Linked DNA regions of Canis lupus familiaris. The protein of the gene in region 1 interacts with the protein of each later gene in a biochemical or structural test. Links are inferred from orthologs where the notes say so. Each region holds a gene or a part of one and is shown in the gene's direction. Other genes may lie near its edges.

Region 1 (3,600 bases):
ACAGGAATGAGTCTTTTTTTAACCGCAGAACATTGTTTAGGCAACTTTTCCTATTTGTTTTTTTCTTGAAAGCTTTGAGGGTGAAATGAAAAGATCTTTCCCCCCTCCACACTGAAACAGAGAATAGCTCCAGAAGAGACAGTGGCTGGGGGATTGAGCATGTGAAGGACTTTTCTCTGTAAACTTCCAGAAACTTTTTAAGTTTTCACCATATTCAGGTATTTTATTTTTCAGTCTTTCTCCTTTTATTCAAATGGAATTTTGCCATAGAATTCAATGTAATTAAATTATTTATTAAAGATCTTTATTAAAAAAAAAAAAAGATCTTTATTCATGAGACATCAGAAACAGAGACACAGGCAGAGGGAGAAGCAGGCTCCCTGCGGGGACCTCAACACAGGACTGGATCCCAGGACCCCGGGGTCACGCCCCGAGCCAAAGGCACTCAACCACTGAGTCACCCAGGTGCCCCAAATTTTGTATTTGGGATATTAAATTGTGTCCCCCCCCCCCCCGCCCACGAATGTACAGGCCTGGGATTGGACTTGTGTTTCTGAGACCCCAGGCCTAAGGAAGTTGTACGTCTGAGCTCCACTGAGTGTCCACCAGATGCCTCCGTGTGTGTATCTAGTACAAGGCGGCGTAGGTGGTACAGGAAGGCCAAAGGACATTCTAGAAAGTTCGGTGGACTTCCAGACGCCTCTCGAATAGGTGCGGGCAAAGCGTGCGGGGTTTCTGCGCCCCCTTCTAGCCTTCGGCCGTCCCGCACCCCCTGCTCCCCCGCTGCCCCAGCCCAGCCCGGGCCCACCTCCCGCCCCGCGCCGCGATCTGTCGAGTCATCCGTCCTGTCCGCGCCCGCGCGGGGGGATGGGCGGGCCGCAGGCCCCGGCGCGAGGACCCCTGCGGTCGCGGAGGGGCGAGGGACCACGACGCCCAACCCCTCTCCGCCCAGGGCGGGTCTCGAGAGCCGCGGGGACCGCTGCGGCCGAGGGGAAGGGGTGTCTGGGTCCCGCGGCAGGGGCAGCTCGCCCCGGACGCCCGGCGATTCCGCGCCGGGTTTTCCCGTCTCCCGCGGGCCCTGTTCTCCGCGCTCGCCCCCTCCCCCCTCCCCCCTCGCATCCGGCGCCGGCCACGTCCGCGGACGCAGCACTCAACGGGCGCGCTGATCCCTCCGCGCGGGCGCTCGGGACCGCGGCCCTCTCCTCGCCAGATTCAGCCCTACAGCCCAGCCTTGACAGGTCGACGTTTCCGGGGGCTCCTAGAAGATTCTGGGGCAGTGGTTTTCTCCCTGGAGGCCAGGAAGACGGTGAAAAGTAGTCCCTTCTCGGCGTTTCTGCGCAGGGATCCGCCGGAGCGGCGCGGCCGATTGTTATATAAGGAGGCGCCGGGCGTGGCGCAGGCAGTTCCGTGGAGGCCGGGAGGTCGGTTGTTCGTCTCCGTGCGCTTCTGTCACAGCCGCTTGGTGAGGAGCGGGCCGCTGCGCGGGCCTGGGGGTCTTGGGGCCCTGCAGGGGCGGGGGGCCGGGCAGCCGGCTGCCCGGGGAGTTGCCCGCGGCGCCGGAGCGCGGTTACTCTTGGGGGGGGGGGCGCAGCAAAATGGCGTCCGCTACGGCTCCTGTGCGGGGAGAAGCCGAGGTGCGAGGGGCCGTGAGGAGCCCGGGAGACGGGATGGCTGTGAGCGGGCGAGACGCGCCGAGCCAGTGGGGCCCTGACGGGGCCCTCTGCGCAGTGAGTGGGGGCGGGAAGCCCCTGTGTGCTCCGCGGCCCCGCTGGCGCCACGCTCCGTGTCCGGTCGCGGCGAGTGGGCCCGAAGTGCCGGAGCAGTCCTGCGCCCGTTTGGGGGGAGGGGGCCCGCTCGTCGCGTCGGTCATGTGATGTCATCGCTTTGTCAGCTAACAATCCGGGGTGGGGCCGCGTGTTCCTGTGTGTGGAGCCGGCTTGGGTCAGTCGCGGGGCACAAGGGTTAGGCGGGGCGGGGGAGGGGAGATCCTGCGGATTGTCCGGTCCAGACATCACTGAGGGGGGAGGGGAAGATACGGAAGCCGGCGCCTTCACTTGACCGGTATCCATGCTTTCTCTCCTCCTGGGGCCTGGAACTTGGTTTTGGAGCTTATTTGAGTTTCCAAAACCTGTCCTGTTTCTTCGCCTTAGGTTTTTTGGCGAGGTTTATTTTAGTTCTTGGGTTAGTGTAAAATGACCAGTAACTGTTAGCGTTCTATTCACATGTGAGTGGTCTGTTACACTCCGGATTGTTTTTTTTGTTTTTTTGGGTTTTTTTGTGACAGACAATGCAGATCTTCGTGAAGACTTTGACGGGTAAGACCATCACCCTGGAGGTGGAGCCCAGTGACACCATCGAGAACGTCAAGGCGAAGATCCAGGACAAGGAGGGCATCCCCCCTGACCAGCAGAGGTTGATCTTTGCTGGCAAACAGCTGGAAGATGGGCGCACCCTGTCCGACTACAACATCCAGAAGGAGTCCACTCTGCACCTGGTCCTTCGCCTCAGGGGGGGCATGCAGATCTTCGTGAAGACCTTGACGGGTAAGACCATCACCCTGGAGGTGGAGCCCAGTGACACCATCGAGAACGTCAAGGCGAAGATCCAGGACAAGGAGGGCATCCCCCCTGACCAGCAGAGGTTGATCTTTGCCGGCAAACAGCTGGAAGATGGGCGCACCCTGTCCGACTACAACATCCAGAAGGAGTCCACTCTGCACCTGGTCCTTCGCCTCAGGGGGGGCATGCAGATCTTCGTGAAGACCTTGACGGGTAAGACCATCACCCTGGAGGTGGAGCCCAGTGACACCATCGAGAACGTCAAGGCGAAGATCCAGGACAAGGAGGGCATCCCCCCTGACCAGCAGAGGTTGATCTTTGCCGGCAAACAGCTGGAAGATGGGCGCACCCTGTCCGACTACAACATCCAGAAGGAGTCCACTCTGCACCTGGTCCTTCGCCTCAGGGGGGGCATGCAGATCTTCGTGAAGACTTTGACGGGTAAGACCATCACCCTGGAGGTGGAGCCCAGTGACACCATCGAGAACGTCAAGGCGAAGATCCAGGACAAGGAGGGCATCCCCCCTGACCAGCAGAGGTTGATCTTTGCCGGCAAACAGCTGGAAGATGGGCGCACCCTGTCCGACTACAACATCCAGAAGGAGTCCACTCTGCACCTGGTCCTTCGCCTCAGGGGGGGCATGCAGATCTTCGTGAAGACCTTGACGGGTAAGACCATCACCCTGGAGGTGGAGCCCAGTGACACCATCGAGAACGTCAAGGCGAAGATCCAGGACAAGGAGGGCATCCCCCCTGACCAGCAGAGGTTGATCTTTGCTGGCAAACAGCTGGAAGATGGGCGCACCCTGTCCGACTACAACATCCAGAAGGAGTCCACTCTGCACCTGGTCCTTCGCCTCAGGGGGGGCATGCAGATCTTCGTGAAGACCTTGACGGGTAAGACCATCACCCTGGAGGTGGAGCCCAGTGACACCATCGAGAACGTCAAGGCGAAGATCCAGGACAAGGAGGGCATCCCCCCTGACCAGCAGAGGTTGATCTTTGCCGGCAAACAGCTGGAAGATGGGCGCACCCTGTCCGA
Region 2 (3,814 bases), on another chromosome or scaffold:
GGCCTGAGCACCGGGGTGGACGTGCAGGCGCTGCGTCCTGGTCCCGCCGTCGCACTTGGGCAGCTCCCCTGCGATGGAGTGGGCTTCGTCCGCACCTCCCGGTGGCCAGGCTGCGGGACGGGCGTGGACGGCGCTGCAGGGCAGGAGGAGAGTGGGTTGGCCGCTGCCGCTCAGCGGTGCTCGTGCGTCTGCGAGGCGTCGGCCGCAGCTTCCTGCTCCCGCGCCACCGCGGCCCAGACCTGAGGCCGGACTTCCTCCTCGCACGCCAGCGGCCCCCGGCATCCCAGCTTCCCCTACAAGTCGCCCTTTGGAATCAGATTCATCTTGGAAGCCCAGGGCCGCCTGCCCTGTGTCCATTTGACAGGAGGGGTGGCGCGTGCTGCAGCCCTGCCATCCCGGAGACGTGGCTGCAGAGGCCTGAGTCCCAGGGCCTGGGCCGCACGGCTTCCCAGCCTCCGCCTTCCTCCCTTGGGGTGAGCTGAAGGCTCGGAGGCCCTTGCCCCCCTGAGGCTGTGCTGCCGGTGAGGCCGGAGGTCGCCAGGCTGCCCGGGCTGAGGCTGCGTCTGCCACCGGCAAACACAGAAGTGCCCGAAGTGAGAACGCATCTGGCACCTCTTGTTTCTCCGTAGATGATATGTGTCGTTAAACGGTACCAAACTCATGAAGTCAGAAACCGAAATCCAGAGAATGTCCCTGTTCCTCTGCAAGTGCTGTTTTGGAGAATTTGATTAATTTTCTGTGTGGTGCGCAAAGTGACGTGTGACTCTGCAGAAGTTTAAGGACGCGCAGCGACCCGGCCCCCTCCCGTGTGGGCAGCCCGGGCACCTAGTGTGCATCCGGTTCAGGGGCTCGTACCCCCACCCCCACCCCGGGAAGCAGGTGCCTCGGAATGTACCGCAGACCCTGCCTGTCCCCTGCTGGTTGTTTCCCAGCTGCATCAGGAGGTGTCCAGAGGCGCCCCCAGGTGCCCAGCTGCACGGCGAGGAGCCCCAACTGCTGTCCCAGTGCTGGCTGCCCGGACCTGTGAGGACGTCGGTCCCTGGCACGGGGGAGAGTCCAGAAATGCTGAGAAGAGTGGCCAGCACCCGCAGTGCGCTCGGGGAGCGGCTCCTGGTCAGGAGGGCGGGGGTGAGGACAGAGGACGGCTCCTCCCAGGAGGAGCTAGTGACCCGTCCACGCCCGCGGCTTTGCTCCCAGGCCTGGCTGGCTCCAGGCACGCAGCTGGGGCCCCTGGCCTCCGTGTTGCTTGAGGGCCCCGGTGAGCCGGTGGAGGCGGCCCCCGCGCTGCGGAGCCCAGTGCCCTGTTCTGAGCCGAAGGAGCAGAGGGCACTGCGAGCGCCCGTGCCCACCAGGTGCTGGTGCTCTGAGGACAAAGCTGCGGGGCTGGGGGCAGCGGTGCCTCCTTGAGGGGAGCGGCCAGCGATGCCCGGATCTGAGTCCAGGTGACTCGTTTAGCGGCCTGGCTGGCTGCTTGCCTGGAGCCCGGCCCGCTTGGTACCTCTGGGGAAGGTGGGCAGAGCCGGGCTGGCGGAGGCCCCGGCCCCTGGGCCCTGGATCATCAACAGTCCCCTGCTGTGCGGCAGCCCGGCTGGGGAGGTCGGGGTTCCAAACTAGGCAGCGAGGTGCTGGCTCAGCCTCCCGGCTTCTCCGGAGCCACCAGCCTCCTCTGGGTAAGGCACAGATGCAGCTTCTGAAGGGCCACCAGCCACGGGGACACTCCCAGGTGCCCGAGGGTCGTCCCTTGTCCAGGTCCACGTGTCCGGAGATGGGGTGACCCATGTGGCCCTGGCCTGGGGGTGGAGGCAGAGCCAGACCGAGTGCCTGATTGGCACGCTCCGGTGGACCCTGGGCTCGTGCTGATAAGCCTGAGGGTGGGTCTGCAGGGCCAGAGTCCAGAATCTTCTGGGCAGGGGAGTGCCCTCCCGGTGGGTGTGCCCTTGGCTAAGCTGCTGTCGCGGAGCCTGCCTTCTGCGAGGGGAGGGCCCCTTCCCAAGTGCTGCGGTGTGACCAGGCCGGTCGTGGGGTGGCAGGGCTCGAGCGCAGCGTGGGCATCCCCGACAACGGCTGGTGCCCTCGGGCCCCCTTGAGTATGGGGCCCAAGCCTGCGGTCCTGTCTGTGCAGGACGGGCTGCGGAGCAGGTGCGTCTGCCGCGCGCCTTTGGTGTTTCTTCCCCCGAAGCACCCGCGCAGGCCTGATGGCCCATCCCTGTTGCACCCTGCCCGTCCGGGGGGCAGGTGGGGCTGGGGGTGGCAGGAAGGTCGAAGTGCCTGGCTTCACTCTGGCCGGCCCCGCCTGTCCTCGGGCTCGTGGCTGGCCTTCTGGGGGGTGGCCACCAGGTGCAGGGAGCAGCAGTGTTCTGGGGTGCCCCCCAGCAGGCCGCTATCCGTCATCCCTCCCCTGTGCCCCTGCCTTGGGGCTGACCTGGGGGTTGCTGCAGTTCGTGAGGACGGGGAGATTTGAGGAGGCTTGTCCTGGGCCGGGTGGGCAGTCGCGGACTTGGGACACCATGTTCACCGCCTCCCCCGGGAGCCATAGGGCGGCATGGGGAGTGCGCGCAGTGGGACGTGGTTGTGGGGGCCGCCCGGAAGAGGCATCACTAAGCAGCACGCATCGGTGCAGGGCTCGGACCATTGGACTCTGGGGCCCCGGGGCATGGGAAGAGCGGGACATAAACACCCCTGCTCGGGCTCCTGGTCCCCTCCACTGCCTTACTTGCTCACGGGCTGCTGACTCCTGCCGGCCATCGCTTTGCCCCGGTCCTTGCCCTGGCAAAGTCTCCCTGGGCAGAAGCAGCTCGCCTGCATCCCTGCACTGCGGCACCCCGCCCCTGCTCCCCCCACCCCGTGCTGGGGCCCGCAGGGGCAGGGGGGAGCAGGTGGGCTCGGGTGATGGGTCCTGCCGTGACCGAAGCAGGTGCTCCCCGCACGGGGTCGTAAAGAGGGGTTGTCTTCTTGGGGTGTCGTGCTAGGCACGTGCCCCACCCCAGGCGGGGGGCAGGACGGCGGCCCCACCTCCATGGCTGCCTGAGGCCAGATCTAGGCCACTGCCCCGTTTAAATGTAGGGCAGGGACTCCTGAACGAGAGCAGGGAGGACCAGTGCGGCACCCTGTCGCGGAGCACCCGCCCGTCCGCATGATACAGCATGCGGGAGGCTGGCGTCCCCACGGCGTGCGCTCCGGCTTCTGCCCGGAGAGACGCACTCTGCTTCATTCTTCAAGGCACAGCAGCCAGACGGGCGCCCTGAGGGGCAGCCTGCAAACATCGTCGGTCACCTGGCGCGCGCTGGACGCCAGGCTGTTTCCCAGGCAGGCGGAGATGCACAGGGGGTGGGTGTTGCACCCGGCACCTGCCGGCCTGGCCCGCGCCCGTGCCCCCGCCCGGAGAGTGAGGCCGCGCGGGCTGCTTTGCCCACCCAGCAGGCCCCGTGGGGGAAGGGCGGTGGGACGCTTGTCACCTGGAATCGGGGTTTCCTCTGCCCCTCGGGAGGTCCTCGCCTGAGCTTCGTATCAGGTTCCGAGGCCTGGGGAGCAGGCTGTGTGAACGCCCCCTGTGCTGCGTTACGGCGACATGGAGCTGGGACGAGAGCCAGGGACTGGCCCCAGGCAGCGTGGGGCTGCTCAGCCAGGGTACTCCACCAGGGGCTCCTACTCCCACGTCCTCTCCCCACCCCCAGACGTCGGGGTGCCGTCATCCCTGAAGACCCCGAGACAGGCCCTCCTGTGCCAGCGGCTCTTGGGGAGAGCCCTTCCAGCCGTCAGGGAGACGGACCCGGGCTGCCAGCCTGTAGCCCACCCTGGAGGCCGCCCACCTGCC
Region 3 (3,714 bases), on another chromosome or scaffold:
AGATGGGGTCCCGGGGTCCTTCTGCAGACTGGCCTGTAGCCAAGCTTTTCTAAAACACCCCTCCTCTGTCTCTGAGTAGAGTTCCAGCTACCAGGACGGCTACCAGTGCCAGTGGTCATTGTGCTTTGGCCTGGCTTTCTCACCAGTGACTGTCAGGGGCCTAGAAATCTGTGTGTATGGGTCTGTATTTGAGGGAGGGTTTGCATGTATGGGAATGTGGGGTGCATGTGTGACGGGGGTGTCAGGTGTGTGTGGGGGGGTGGGGGATACGTTTGTATGGGAATGAATGGGGTGCGCATGTGAAGGGAGTGTGGGGACATTTATGTATGTGGATGAGGAGGGGTGCGTGAGTGAGGGGGTGGGGGATACGTTTGTGGAAGGGGGGATGGTATTCTTTTGCCCGTAGCTGCCTCTCAGATAATCGCACTTCATGCCCTCACCACAGTCATAGTTTGGGTCAGGATGAGGTCTCCATTAGGTGAAGAACTGAGATTCCGGTGATGTGCTTTGGTCCCAGGGTGGCCAGAATCACCCCTGACGTTGCCTGCTCCCAGCCGCACCCAGGCCTTCTCTAGTTTTGAGGGCACTTGGCTGTGGAGCCCTCGGGCTTGTATGTCTTTGTAGCCAGTGGCTATGAGCTTGGGTTCAAACCAGGGTCCTTCTGGGGTCAGAGGCTAGAAGCAGGACCTGCCCTGCGACCCAAAGCGGGAAGAAGAGCCCTGCCAGGGCCTTTCCCGGCTGCACTGGTCTCCCCAGGCCCCCCTTTCTGCTCCCGCACGGCTTTGCTGCATTCTCTGTCATTCTGCCACTGCCTCTGGCTGGAGAAGACCCGGGCCTGGCCAATTCTCTCACCAACTGGGGGAGTTTCTCGTTTTGGGGGTATGGGGGGCTGATGTGGTGTCAGGCTCAACGTTGATGGAGGTGCAGGGCCGCCCCTCCTGGTTTCGAGTGTGTGTGCGCACCGAGGAGGAGGTGGCCAGAATACACTTCCTGCTGCGTCTTGGCTCCTTCCCAGGCTTGGTGTGTCACTGAAACCTCACAGCCCAGGGCCAGGAGAGAGAAACCTGTGATTTGTGGTGACCGTGTCTGTGTGGCATTGTCTGCAGGTGGCGTGCGCACAGATGTCTGCCGCTGCATGTTCAGCCCCTGGAACTACTTTTGCCTCGGCTTTCTCACGAGAGTAGTGGCAGTTGAGTGAAACAGCGCTGCCAAAACCTGCTCCAGAGTAGTTTGTTTTAGCAGCTGCTGTTTGACTTTTCTGTGCATCCTCTGAAGAGCCTCCTGACCGAAGTGTGTGGGGATGTGTGGAGGAGGCCCAGTCTGTGACTCCTGAGGGCTATGAACAGCAGCTGTCTCTGGTCCTCATCCAGCTGCCTCCAGGGCTTCTGGGATCGGGCCTCCAGCGGGTGGACCGGATAGGGCTCTGTTAGGCAGAGCTCTGAGTGTCTGCACTAGTGTCATGTCTCTCCTCTCGCACACTCAGTCCTCCCGTCTTGGCCCCTCTAAACGTCCCTCCTGGCAGCTTGGGCCTCTCCCTTGTCCTCCTTCTCTCTGGATTCAGCATCTCCAGTTCATACCCCTTGGGACACCGCTGATGTTCCTTTCTCTTCTAGGAGGGACTCCAAAGCCAGAGCCAGAACAGGTGATAAAAAAATATACGGAAGAGCTGAAAATGGCCTCAGATGAGGTATGTGTCACAGGAGCCACGCTGCCTCTGGTTTTGTTTGGAGGCAAGGGGTGGCTCCTGAGGTGAAAGATACTGGCCTTTCTCTGCTGAGTGGGTACTTCCCTAAGGTTCCGGCCTTGTTTCGGGTACTCGGGTTTAATCACCCAGCCTCCCACGGGAGGCAGGCCTTACCAGGAGGAGGTGATCTGGCTTCAGGGGCCTGCATTCTGGTTTTAGCTTTGCTGCTGATGAGCTGTAGTTCTGAGCAAGGCTCCTACACGGGCCTCTGTGTAGCCCTCTTCCTGTGCCACTCTGGGGCCTTGGAGGGTCCTGGAGACAAGGGATGGGAGAGCCTGCCCATTCCCCGAGGACCGAGCTGGGGAAAAGTAGTGACTTTGTCCCCAAAGCAGCCCTGCCCCTCTGGCTATTGGGAGAGCTGGTTAGCCTTCCTGTAATTACAGGGCCTGCAGACCCTCATAGCAGTTTCAATAGGACCCGATCCTCTGTGCTGAGCCGTGTTTTGGGGTCTACAGTGCCACTGGTCTCTGATTTGAATGGAGAGCTCCAAGGACTCTGAGGGTGGTGGGTGGGAGTCATGGGTTAAAGGGTAGTTACGCCAGTACAGAACCACATACTCTGCCTGTGCAGGACTCTCCTGCAGCTCTGGGTGAAAAAGGTTCAGTAACCTGGAGGCCATCCTTGTGTCTCCCACCATCCCTCCAGCCCTGTCTATGCTCCCACCTGACAGCGCCCACATCAGTGTCCTTGTCTTTGCCCTTGTGGCCCTGCCATACCTGGGCTGCTCCATGCCAGCCTCCTGTCCTCCAAGCTGCCACTCAGCTTACACACAGTTGTGATTGTGCTGGTACCCCCAACCTTAAAACTCCTCTACAAGGCCCCTGACGTGTGAGACAAAGCCCAGCTCCTGAGTGTGGCCATCAGAACCTTCGGGGACCTGGTCCTGTCCCGTCTGGCTTTTTATACCCTACTTACCCCTCGGCCCCGGTGGCTGCCACTGCTGTTCCCAGACTCTGCTGGTTCCTGCTTCACGACATTCTCTGCACTTTCCTTGGACTGTGTATTCCCATCCTTGCTCACCTTGTCCTTTTTTCCTTGTGATACCCCACTTCAAGGGCCTCGCCTCTCAGCCTGCCTGTTCTTTCCCCTTTCCCTGCCTCTGTGTGGCCTGTGCTTGTGGTTGTCTGTTTTCCCCTTGACTGTGGTGAGCCCTTTGAGGGCACAGATCCTGGTGACTCACCGGTCTTTCCAGCCTCTGGGACAGCTGACTACCAGACTGCCCAGAATCCTGGTGTTTCAGCAGAGGAAGGCCTTTTCCTATTAAGAATACCTCCACGCCTGTGGCTCAGCAAGCTGTTGGTGAGCATGCCCTGTGCTGGTCTCCTTCCAGGACTGCATCATCTGTATGGAGAAACTGTCCGTGGTGTCCGGGTACAGCGACGTGACCCACAGCAAGACCATTGGGCCAGTGGCAGTGGGCCGCCTTGCCAAGTGCAGCCATGCCTTCCACCTGCTGTGTCTGCTGGCTATGTACTGCAATGGGAACAAGGTGCCACACCTCTGTCCCTGGGATGGGCGGGGGGCCCGGGTGACCTGCCCATGGGCCTGCCCTGGTCCTGCTGCATCTGACTGACTGCCGCTGCCCTGCAGAGGGCCCAGGACACCCTAGGAGGCAGCCTTGAGATGTCGGCAGGCCTTGGCCTGCAGCAGAAAAGAGGTTGGCCACTGGGGGGCTGAGGGTGGCAAGTGACACCTGGGTGCCATTCTGCAGGGGAGTTTAACCAGAGTGGACGGAGGTTAGGAGGACAGAGAGAAAGACCTGAGTCATGTGGCAGACCATTGGGCCTGGCTTCCTCTCCCTGAAGTATCCCTGTGCTCTCTGAACCAGCCAGGGTGCCAGCACCAGCAGTGATAGGTCACAGGGTTTTTTGTTTGATTTGAAACCTGTCAGACCATAGATTCTTCTGTGCATAAACCTGATTTGCCTACTTGATGCCAGTCTCCTAGTAGAACATCTTTCCAGGGAAGCC

The links.
Region 2: the proteins of UBC (region 1) and CAPN15 form a complex in vitro, tested with the Homo sapiens proteins (3 studies listed by BioGRID). The link is inferred for Canis lupus familiaris from reciprocal best matches to the Homo sapiens genes UBC and CAPN15.
Region 3: the proteins of UBC (region 1) and DTX2 form a complex in vitro, tested with the Homo sapiens proteins (2 studies listed by BioGRID, with this or other methods). The link is inferred for Canis lupus familiaris from reciprocal best matches to the Homo sapiens genes UBC and DTX2.

Annotation. Positions count from the first base shown.
Region 1 is NC_049247.1:5,228,743-5,232,342, forward strand, and holds the start of UBC (polyubiquitin-C), read left to right. Parts: upstream 1-1,303; 5' UTR 1,304-1,462; intron 1,463-2,284; 5' UTR 2,285-2,287; coding exon 2,288-3,600.
Region 2 is NC_049227.1:40,481,800-40,485,613, reverse strand, and holds the start of CAPN15 (calpain-15), read left to right. Parts: upstream 1-1,542; 5' UTR 1,543-1,670; intron 1,671-3,814.
Region 3 is NC_049227.1:7,551,685-7,555,398, forward strand, and holds part of DTX2 (probable E3 ubiquitin-protein ligase DTX2), read left to right. Parts: intron 1-1,613; coding exon 1,614-1,687; intron 1,688-3,074; coding exon 3,075-3,233; intron 3,234-3,714. UniProt on the Homo sapiens protein: Regulator of Notch signaling, a signaling pathway involved in cell-cell communications that regulates a broad spectrum of cell-fate determinations.